Linked DNA regions of Drosophila melanogaster. The protein of the gene in region 2 interacts with the protein of the main gene of each other region in a pairwise test. Each region holds a gene or a part of one and is shown on either strand. Other genes may lie near its edges.

Region 1 (5,747 bases), on a different chromosome or scaffold from region 2:
AATGTGTCATAAGACATATTTGCCCTGGCACAGGAAAACTATTTGGCGACCCGTTAAACCGCTTTTCACCCCGTTGAATTTTACGCTCGACCCGCAAGATGGATTTGGGCAAAAATGTTCGAAGAATTTTCATCATACCCACATGAACGGCAATAAGTTGTGGCCTTGTGAGCAACTTTGAAATTCGACATACATAACTAAAAACTTTCAAGCCTGTTGATGAGTTTAGATTTTAACCAAAGTTGGCTAGTTAGCCCACTGGCAATCTTGAAACTTCCTGTCAGGGTTTCCTTGAGTGGAGCACACGCGGCGTATGCGTAACTAATTCAGGTGCTCTCGAGTGGTGAGTTTCCACAAAAGGATTTCCCCTTCCGAAAAGAGAGAAAGAGAAAGCAATCAGCTGCTGGTCCGGAACTTTCTCTGTTTTCTTTTACTATCTGGGCTTCAGAGGAAATGTTAATGTTAGTGGTGAAAAGCTGTCTCTTAAAAGAGAGAAAGCCAAAAGAAAAATCCACCCACTAAATATCAGAGCTTTAAGCGTTAAAGCTTTAATGAACATTTAGATGGCTTTTAGCGAAGGATACAATAAATAAATTTCGGTAAATTAACTTGCAAAAGCCTAGTTTTTCGAAGAAGCCTATAAACTTTTCTCAAAGCTTTTTTTTAGACCATTTTAAATGATGGTTATAAACTCGGGATTCATGAAAGAAAATCCGATAAAATCGTTCTGGTCCAAATTCATCATAAAAAGCTTGTCCGTTGGAGTTAAGTCCGTCTTCTCCTTGGTAAAGGCATCATCAAAGTTGCTTATATCCTTGCGATGTTTCTGAAATGTACCCAAGATTACAATAAAATGATTTCCTAGTGGGGCTCCTGTTTTAGCTTACAATCATTGGCTTAATAGGTGGCTCCATTTCGCATGCCTCTGCCTTATCCCAGTCCACATTCCGGAAGAAAGGATGCGTGGTAATCTCCTGTCTGGCATAGCGGCCTGCACCCAATCTATTGTTGGGCTTTTTGGTCAGGAACTTTGGAATACAAATCTATACCATTAGATTCATATGTTTTTGAAATCCAACACTTACGCTCGTTATTATATCCATGGCCTCCACGCTGAAATGCTTTGGAAACACCGCCTTCTTGTCCTTTATGTTCCTAAAGACAGTAGTTTCATCATCTCCTTCGAATGGAGCCTGACCTGCCATGAATTCGAAAAGCAATACACCAAAAGACCACCAATCAGCGGCGATGGAATACGGATCGTAGCTAACAATCTTAAATTATTTTTAAGCTGATTATTTTTACACTTATTTTTTTCGGCTGATTTACTTACTTCGGGAGCCATATAATTTGGAGTACCACAAAAGGTTCGTGTGGTCTGCCGCTCGGTAACGCCCTCTTTGCTCAATCCAAAGTCGACCAGCTTTACATGCCCCTCACCATCCAGCAAAATGTTGTCCAGCTTTAGATCTCTATAGATAATATCACGCTCGTGGAGGAAAAACAGAGCAATAGCCACTTCCACAGCGTAAAAACTAAGCACATAATATATAGAAGATTTCAAAATATGGTACTTGAATATAAATATTTGTACTCACATAGCCACAGACTCCTTGAACCTTCCATACTGCTGCATATGGTACATAAGATCTCCACCCTTACAGTACTCCATTACGAAGAATAATCGGTCCATAGTCTGGAAACATGAGTGCATGGAGACGAGGAAAGGAGGACGTCCGGATAGGGCTAGAATTTTCTTCTCATTCATTGGCAGCTCCATATCGTCCGTTTGGATAATGACATCCTTTCGCAGGACCTTCACGGCATACAGCTCATCCGTGCCACGACGCTCGGCCAGCAGGACTTTGCCAAAGGATCCCTTGCCAATAACTTTAACAAAGTTGAAATCAGCAGCTCGAATCATATCGCGTTTGCTCATATTATGCGGCATATCCTTGTTGTCCATGCGACGCTTTTCATTCGGACGACGATCGTGCTGAAAATCAGGAATATTAAATATGTGGCAAACTTGGTGAGGACATCCGCTTACCCTAACTTCATCCCTTAAGCGAGCTATATCATTAAAGGCATCCACACAGGGTATGTTATAATGTTCACCCTCCACTTGCGACAGAAACTTATACCAGCCATCAACTGGCTCCTTTTGCAGTTCCTCCAGGCTGAACGAGAACGATCCCATGAAATCATTGCGAGAAGTTCGATCCCAATCCCAAACCTCGATGAGCAAACGCTTGTCACGGTCCTGCGGCTGCAACTCACTAGGATTAAAGAAAATATGGTAAAGAGGTCTATTTAGAGGATTAGTTTTCAACTATTACAAAGTAAAAGTCTCGTTGAACACTGGATTGAGGTTTTTCTGAATGGTCTTGGTCTTCTTTTTGGTGCGCCCCGAACGGTCCGGATGCATTTGCACTGCAATATAGGGATCGCTAAACCCGTTGGTATCCATGGGAATGAGGTTAGCTGCCTCCTTAACTGCAGTATGAAAGAAACATTAATCTTTATATGGGCATATAAACTTTAAGTAATAACTTACTATCAACTTTCAAGTTATTGCCCTTAAGCTCGACGTATAGCAGTAGTTTACCCCTCACCTCGCTGATGTCCGCACCACACATCGGTGGCACTGTCTCCTGGCAGGCGTGATGCACATTTAGGTTGCAATCTGAAATATTTGGGTTAATAGCTTGAAAGCAATAGGACTCGAGTTTATTCAGGAATTTACTCTCGCACTTGACGCCCTGATGGGCGACTCCATGGAGCAGCAGTCCGCACTCGTCGCAGAATGTCGGTGTGGTGTAGGTGGTGGAAATCCAGCCGTGCTTCACCTTAGCGCAGTCGGCATCGAAGTCCGTGTCCTTGCCAGGACATTTGAACACCACAAATTTACAGCACTTCTGGTGAATGTTGAAGCGGCATTCTGCGTATGCAAATATTTTAAAAGATTTTTTAAATTGTGAACATTTCTACCTACCCTCGCACTGAAAACCTTGCTTGCCAAAGCCCCTAATCCCGGCACGAATCCGCGAATGCAACAATGCGAAACGGAAGAACAGCGAAAAAAATATAGAAAAAACAACGAAAAGTGTGTCAGCAACGAAGGCACTAATTAAATTAACGATGGGAACGCTGAGATGCCAGCAAAAACCGAAAACGAAATTTCTCACCAGATGAAATCCTTGCAATGACCGCAGTAGGTTGGATTCTTAAAGAATCTAACTCCGAAACGATGACCATTGACCATTTCGAGACCCTTTCGCTTCATCGCACCCTTCCTTAGACGATTCTTCATATAGTTGACGATATTTGCTTCGCCAGTGATCTCCAGTAGATTTCCTGGACCTTTGCCAGCTCCAGCCGCTGGAGCCTTGGCCCCTGGAGCGGCACTGGGCACCGAGGGAGGGAGCACAGTGGCCCCCGGTGTGGCAACAGCAGCCGCAGCCATTAAAAGATAATGTCAGGGAATTGGATAGCTAGTGAAGAGAAAAAGCTGACTCAGACCGTACGGTTTCAAGCCCGTCTAGAAACTGACCCGGTCGGTCAGGTGAAGACCCTAAAAGAAGCAACTTGGAAGCCAACAAAGTGCACACACAAAGTTGAAGGCAAGAAAATGACACAGAGTGATGCAAACGGGCGACAGTTTGGACTTATGCAATAGTGCATAAGACGTAATTTCATTCATAAATTTTCCAAATATGTATTTGTTCCTAGCTTATAGAAACCTCCTTATCCATATCTCATTATATTTGTGTAGACTGAATAAAAAATGTAATATAAATACAACATAATACTGCTCATACATATCAAAAAAAAACCATAAGAGAAATGTTTCAGAAAAATACCCTTCTGATTTAAAATTATTTCTGCACATGTAAAGCAGCTAAAAGAAAATAAAATATGTGTGAGTAAACACACGAATATTAAACGTTAATTATGCACATATCAAAGTGAATAATATTTTATAGCCTCTTTATTGCATGTTTTTTTAATTATTTAAAATCGGACATTTGTGGAACTATTTACCACAATTAAATTGTGCCTTTGTTAGCGTAAATCGGTGTTAAACAATTGTGTAATATTTGAGACTTTGTATGATTAATTTCTGTCAATTTCTAGGTACTTAATATATGTGTGCGCATTTTAAAAGTCAAATTTAATGCTTTTAACCATTTCATAACAATGAATGTCATGTCCAAAGCATCCTTACTACTAGTCCCTATAGATCTTACACAAGTTGCCATGCAACCATTTGCTCTATGCCTGGGTAATCAGCACTTATCCACGCTGATTCAGTTAGTTCGGCAGTTAGCCCCCATCGCAATTGTCCCCCAGGAAAAAGCACTCAACGACGTCCCGTCAATCGAACGGAGGACCGAAGAGTGAAAGCCAAGAACTCTCGTCTTTGGGCCCTTACCAGCGATAAGTGTAAACAGCTTGGGAAAGGTCAAGAAGGTGCTTACCTGGCCAGAAGACAAACATAATCATCATCGGAGCCATTGCTCCGGACAACTGCAGCTGTGACGTCAATGCAATAAAATTGGAAAAGTGGGCGAAGGGGTTTCGGAAAATGGTGATGTGCGAAAGCTTCTATGTGTGTGTGTGTGTGTATGTGTGACTATTGTCGATTGAGTATTTATACTGTGTGGCAGTTTTGATTAATTTATGCAATTGCTGGCAGGGCACGTTTTCCGTGAAAGAACCCCCCATTTAAGCGCCGCCCCTGCAAGCCAGCTGGCTTTCAGTGCAGGGCTAAAAATAGAAATAGAAAACGCAGAATTGAGCACAAAGTGCACACAGGACACAGAAGGACACGCTGGCTGGCAAGGCAAACAAAATACAAAATAAAAGCGGTTAGCTGAAATCCAAGCTGAAACAACTAAAAACGCTACCGAAAGCAGCGATGAAATGGGTTGGAAAATGCATTAAAGCGGAAATGTAGGACCTTTGTCGGGGAAAAATGCCATTAAAGCAGGTCCAAGTCAAAGTATCTAAGTATCTGCAGCGGCACGCGTATCTGTATCTCAGAAGTGCACTCAGTGAGTCGACAAATATGCACTCGCAGATTGCCCAGAACTACAGAACTGCACACCTGTCGGTTGAAAGGCATTGACAAGGGGGTTTCGGCGAGCAGAGGGAATTGCAAATAGATTTCGTTGCCGTGGCAGCTTTGGCTTTCAATTTACGTCATCATTTCCATGGCGTCGCCAAACAATTTTCCCCTCCATTTTTCCCTCTTGGCCATTTCACAAAAGCAGGCCAAGCCGCAAAGAGCCAGAGAGCCGCCTCTCAGCGTATAACACATTTTTGTTTAGCTTTACTTCCAGGTTATTTACTCTGACTTTACTTTGCATTACTTTTCTCTGGCTTCGTTTGCTTTTGGCCAAGGCTTTGTTGTTTTCCTTATTCTGTTGTTCGCCATTTCAACATTTGGCAATTCCGCTTGGCTACTTGTTAGCCGACCGTCTTGTTTTTGACCTGCGCCCTTAACACCTATTGATCTGCAGCGCACCTGTCGTGAGTTACTAGCTGTATAATGACCTTTGGACCATGGCATTTAAGATCGTTACTAGCCAAAAGCATTTGGATTGTAGTTATAGTTGAAGAAATGGCTTTAATAAAGGTAAAGAGATCACCAACTGGCAATCACTAATTTTACAATTATAAGTTTGATTTTAGATAGCCCGATTGTTTAGCATACGTTGACTTATTTTCTGAATAAAAAAATA
Region 2 (4,699 bases):
GTCCCACTGTCCACAAGGTATAAATAGTAGTGGCAACGCTGCCCGAAAGACCGAAATTACTTGGTTTTTATTTTGACAACAAATTGGATAAAATGAGTGGCTTGAAGGCGAAAAAATCCAGCAAGGGCGACCAAATCCCCAAGCCCATTAGCATTAAGAAGGAGAAGATCGAGGAGGAACGAAAGCTGCATCCCATGTCCCATTACATAGACGACCGCCTGGAATTGGTGAAACAGATATTTGGGACCTTAAAACCGAAAACCATTTTGAACCTAGCCCCAGAGTTTCTAAAGGTGTGTTATAGTTCTTTTTATAAAAAGCTATTTATCAATAATTTCACGCAGAAAACGCCACTAGACGAAATCGAGGAACTTTGTCTGGAGGAGTTACTCTGCTTGTCTACGAAGCGGCTAAAATCCATAATAGAAAACACCAAATGTCCCACAGACACTGAAAGCTCCGAAGATTCCGATGTGGAGCACAAAGAAGGTATGTTGAATCACTTCCTTGCCCTATAAACCCACCATTCATTATAAAGTCTCATTTCAGAACACATCTCGCTAGAGGAGATATCATCCGACAGCGACATCGGAGGTCAGGAATCCCGAAAAAGTGAGTTGGTGGCATAAGATACATTTAATTTAGAGTTTATTATCTGTGTAATCTGCACAACTGCACGCCGTAAAGTTATCCACCGTACTTAAACTTCTCGCAGGCAAAGAGCGGCGACACGTAAAATGCCCGCAGGATGCAAACATCCTCTCCTATGCCGATGACCACGTTATCCTTATCCTCTTTGCCCACCTCCAGGGTAACTACAAAGTCTCCAACCTCCAAGCAGCCCTTCTTCCTCATAAAGTCCACTCCAAACTCAATCGGACTGTAGCTGCACTCGTTGAGATCCTTGGTGTAAAGAACCGGGTGCATGTTACGGCGCAAATGAAGCGCACGAGCGAGCTCCACCTTGCAGGTAATGGTTTCCGCATCATCTGTCTCCTCCAGCGGCACCATCACATATACTGGGCAATAGATCTCAATACGCGAAAGGGCCACGCTGGCGGTCTCGCAAGTGGTGAACAAAAATATGGCTTGACACTCAATCGAGCTAATTGTGCGGATAATAAAATTCACAATGGTCTGGTATGAGGTTAGGATGCTCTTCAGTACCATCTTATTCTGGACCGCGCCAACACGATAATCTTTTATGGGCATCAGCTTTTTGACTATCAGCGGATATTTGTTGCACCATGGACTTTTTTGGATGTGAATAGCGTCGACCTTCCACAGGAAATCGTGCAACTCAAATCGCTTAAAATCACTGCAACGCTCCAGCGGAACAGTGCCAATGACTGGCTTCTTCTGGCACTGCGAAATCGGAAGCACGTCCTCCATAATGTAGTTATATACGCAACAGTTTACGTTGAACATGTCGGGTATCCAAATGTAGTCCACAAGCTTAATGATGCCTAGCAAATCAAGCATGTTACTTCGCACATACTCGAAATCTATCATTCCGATCAACTTAAGGTTGAAGTCCGAGTTCAAGGTCTGCCGCACGGCACGAAGAAAGCTCTTGCATCGTATCTTGGGCAGAACCACATAGTTGGCATTCAAAGACGCGGCCATCTCAAGGTCCTTCATGTACAGATCGGGATATAGGTCCGGATCGAGAGCGTGGCACTGTCTAGGAAGCTCTATAAAGTCGTAGGAGGCTACCAGACCGGCATCTATGATCATCACGGTTAGTGCTTCCCGCAGGGTCTTCACCACCTTACCTCTAACTTCACGTCCGATCATCACAATATCGCCCAACTGAACGGAGGCGAGATAACACCGCAGATTGATTACGTACACTATTTCTTTAAAGCCTTTGTAGCGGTAGGACTCATCCGTGGTGAGTGTGACCACCCCACCTCGTGCCAGCATCACGGTGCAGTTGTTCCTCAGTCTCCCAACGCGACAGCACTCGCCGTTAATCTCCAGAGCCAAGCCAGTTGTCAGACGTAGTTCCCTCTCTGCAGAATGCGCCGATATCGCAATGTTCATGGTGTCCAAAATGGCTTTCAGTTCATCGGGCTTGTTGCCCACCGTATCCACGTGAAAGGTGTAGGTTCCATTTTCCAGCATACGTCGCAGCTCGTCGTGAGTGGTTTCCGTCACCAGCTTGGCCACAAGACCCAAATGATAGTATCTCTTCCGTTTTCGCCGTCTGGCGTGCTTCTCGTGAGCCTCGCATGCCGCTTTGAAATCCTTTAAACGCTGCTCCAGGTCATGTTGTCCATTAAGACGCACCGTAAACTTCTCCAGACGATTCTCGTCTTCCGGCTGCTCCTCCTCCTCCCCCTGATCCTCACCTGTCTGACTGTCTAGTTGCGGCGTTACTTCTTTCTGGTTGATCGGCATCCTGGCGTGCAGTTAATTTATGTATACTTTAGCACAATTTGTAATGCAATCTGTGTCAATCTTGTCTGATTTTCAGCCAAGAAGAAGCTTAGATCCAAGAAAACGAACAATGGGAATGAAAACAAAGAGTGTAAGTACAAACTTTACGAATGTATAAAAACTAATCGAAATCGACCGAAAGTATGATAACAACAGCCATCTGAGACTGTGCGCCCGTTTGACGGCAAATTTGTTCAGGTTACTAAGGTATTCTTTTCTCCCACAGCGGGTGGTCAAATGAGCGTGCTGGAACTGTTGGAACTTCAGGCACGTGCCAGGGCCATCCGCTCCCAACTGGCAATGGAGCCAATCACCAAAATAGAGGTCAAGTCAGATGATGATATTGACGAAGTACCAGTGGAGAAAGTACAGCGAAAGGAAAAGGATAAACGCAGCACTAAAAAAACGGATTCGAGCAAGCGCAAATCGCAGGAATCAGCTAGACCAACATCTCCATCCCAGCCTGATAGCAGCAGCAAGGAGCAGGAAGCGCCCCGCAAAAGAATCAAGATCAAAAGAAACTATAGGCGGACTTCAAAGTCGCCAGAAAAGGAAGTCAAACCTCCAACATCTACTACTTCATCCGAAACTTTGGTTGCATCTAACGATTTAAACAAACTGCCACGTTCCAAATCACGTTCAGCCTCACCAGATGTGATACCTATACAAACGGAACCCGAAACACTGCTGATCAGCGACAGTACGGATGATGAGGCCACCAAAAAGAAGACAACTGAAACAACTACAACTAAGCAAGTCGAATCGGACCCACCAGCCCCAGTCGTTGAGAGCGAGCCAGAGGAGGGAGAAGTGCGCGATGAACCCGAAGAGCCAGCTAAGGTAGTTGACCCAGCCAATCCAGATGAGCCAACAGAGTCAGAAGCAGCAGCTATTTCGAAAGAACTGGAAAGTAATAAGCCAGAAGTATCGGATACGTCTGATAAGCTAGATAAAACAGGGGATAAGGAACCACCGTCGGAAGAAGCTCTCCCAGCTAATCCCCCTGCAGAGCCAAAGAAGCCGAGTGCAGCCGAGCCAACTGCCCTTGACGACGAAGATCAAAACGACGACGTCATTTCAATAGGTGGGGATCTAGAAATGATTGAGGAAATGACGAAGGATGACGATTCACCTTGGGTAAGCATTAAAAGCGAGAAAAAGGAGAAGATGCAGGATCCTGAGGAACTGGACAACGATGTCATATCCCTGGACACAAGCGAGGATGAACGCGACAAACTACAGCAGGCAGACTCCGAGGTATTTTTAAATGCTCCTCAAAACAGTACCTTTTTTTCAACACAATAATCCTTTTGTTTGTAGTCCTGGCGTTCACGCTACATGAAGAGCTCCAAGGTCAGCCAGGTGCTGGCCGAATCGCGTTTGGGAAAACGCGTCCGTGACAAGCTCAAGAAATCGAAGCGCACCAAAGTCACCGCCGGCGAGGAGCAGGCCAAGGTTGAAAAGCCGGATTCATTTACTTCCAAGCATGAAGACGGATCCATAGAGCAATACCAGGAGCTTCTGCAGCACCGACAGCGTAAAACTTCAAACAGTAGCAAGGGGGATAAATAAGTTTAGCCGCTAAGGGCGGGATTTATTGAAAAGTCGCGTACTGACGCACGGCCCTAGTTTATATGGCATATAAAAAGTCAAATAAAAATTTGCTGTCCTCGGGGGCGGAAGGCAACAAAAAATTTGAATATATCGTGCTAAGCGGATATTTAATTTCTTATTCGTCTTTTCGATACTCTATTCGTGTAGAGTAAGTATACGTTGTGTAGAAGTAGTTGCTTTTTATAAATATAATTTTAAGCCATCGTTTTTAGTTTGAGTAACAAGCCGTGTAAGGGTTGAAAAAGCCGTGTAACGCAGTTTTTGGATTTAGTATTTATTTAAATTGAATTCATATATATTACTTAAAAAGATTTATTTATGTATTCGATGCGTCGACATGTTTATTTGTAGTTTTCAGCTATGTTTTGTAGTTTAAAAGAAAATGCGATAACTGTGCTTTTTTGTTTAAGAAGAGTTTGCGTGAGCTGAGCAGCCTGGAATAGGCAGTTAAACGAGCCGCACGAAGGTTACGCTTGTGCATTGATATTACTTGTCATAAACAAGCTAAAAAATCATTGGGTACGCATTTAAATGGAAGGGTTTTGGTTTAACCCAGTTTCGGCTTCCCACCCGTTTTTCTATACATGTAAGGGATTCAGCTCCACCCGCCGCTTTATCATCGACTTTGCTCAATTTCTAATCA

What was found.
Region 1: the proteins of CG12229 (region 2) and inaC interact in a two-hybrid assay, tested with the Drosophila melanogaster proteins (one large-scale study listed by BioGRID).

The regions. Positions count from the first base shown.
Region 1 is NT_033778.4:16,896,364-16,902,110, reverse strand, and holds inaC (inactivation no afterpotential C), read right to left. Parts: upstream 3,577-5,747; 5' UTR 3,467-3,576; coding exon 3,189-3,466; intron 3,028-3,188; coding exon 2,996-3,027; intron 2,942-2,995; coding exon 2,747-2,941; intron 2,687-2,746; coding exon 2,558-2,686; intron 2,497-2,557; coding exon 2,340-2,496; intron 2,280-2,339; coding exon 2,051-2,279; intron 1,997-2,050; coding exon 1,599-1,996; intron 1,536-1,598; coding exon 1,334-1,535; intron 1,275-1,333; coding exon 1,086-1,274; intron 1,029-1,085; coding exon 888-1,028; intron 827-887; coding exon 674-826; 3' UTR 536-673; downstream 1-535. UniProt on the Drosophila melanogaster protein: This is a calcium-activated, phospholipid-dependent, serine- and threonine-specific enzyme. This isozyme is a negative regulator of the visual transduction cascade and has been shown to be required for photoreceptor cell inactivation and light adaptation.
Region 2 is NT_037436.4:17,433,845-17,438,543, forward strand, and holds CG12229 (uncharacterized protein), read right to left. Parts: upstream 2,588-4,699; 5' UTR 2,534-2,587; coding exon of another isoform or gene 2,480-2,533; 5' UTR 2,404-2,479; coding exon 688-2,403; 3' UTR 628-687; downstream 1-627. Other genes in the region: CG32176 (uncharacterized protein), read left to right, coding at 93-293, 345-489, 550-612, 2,480-2,533, 2,669-3,699, 3,763-4,014.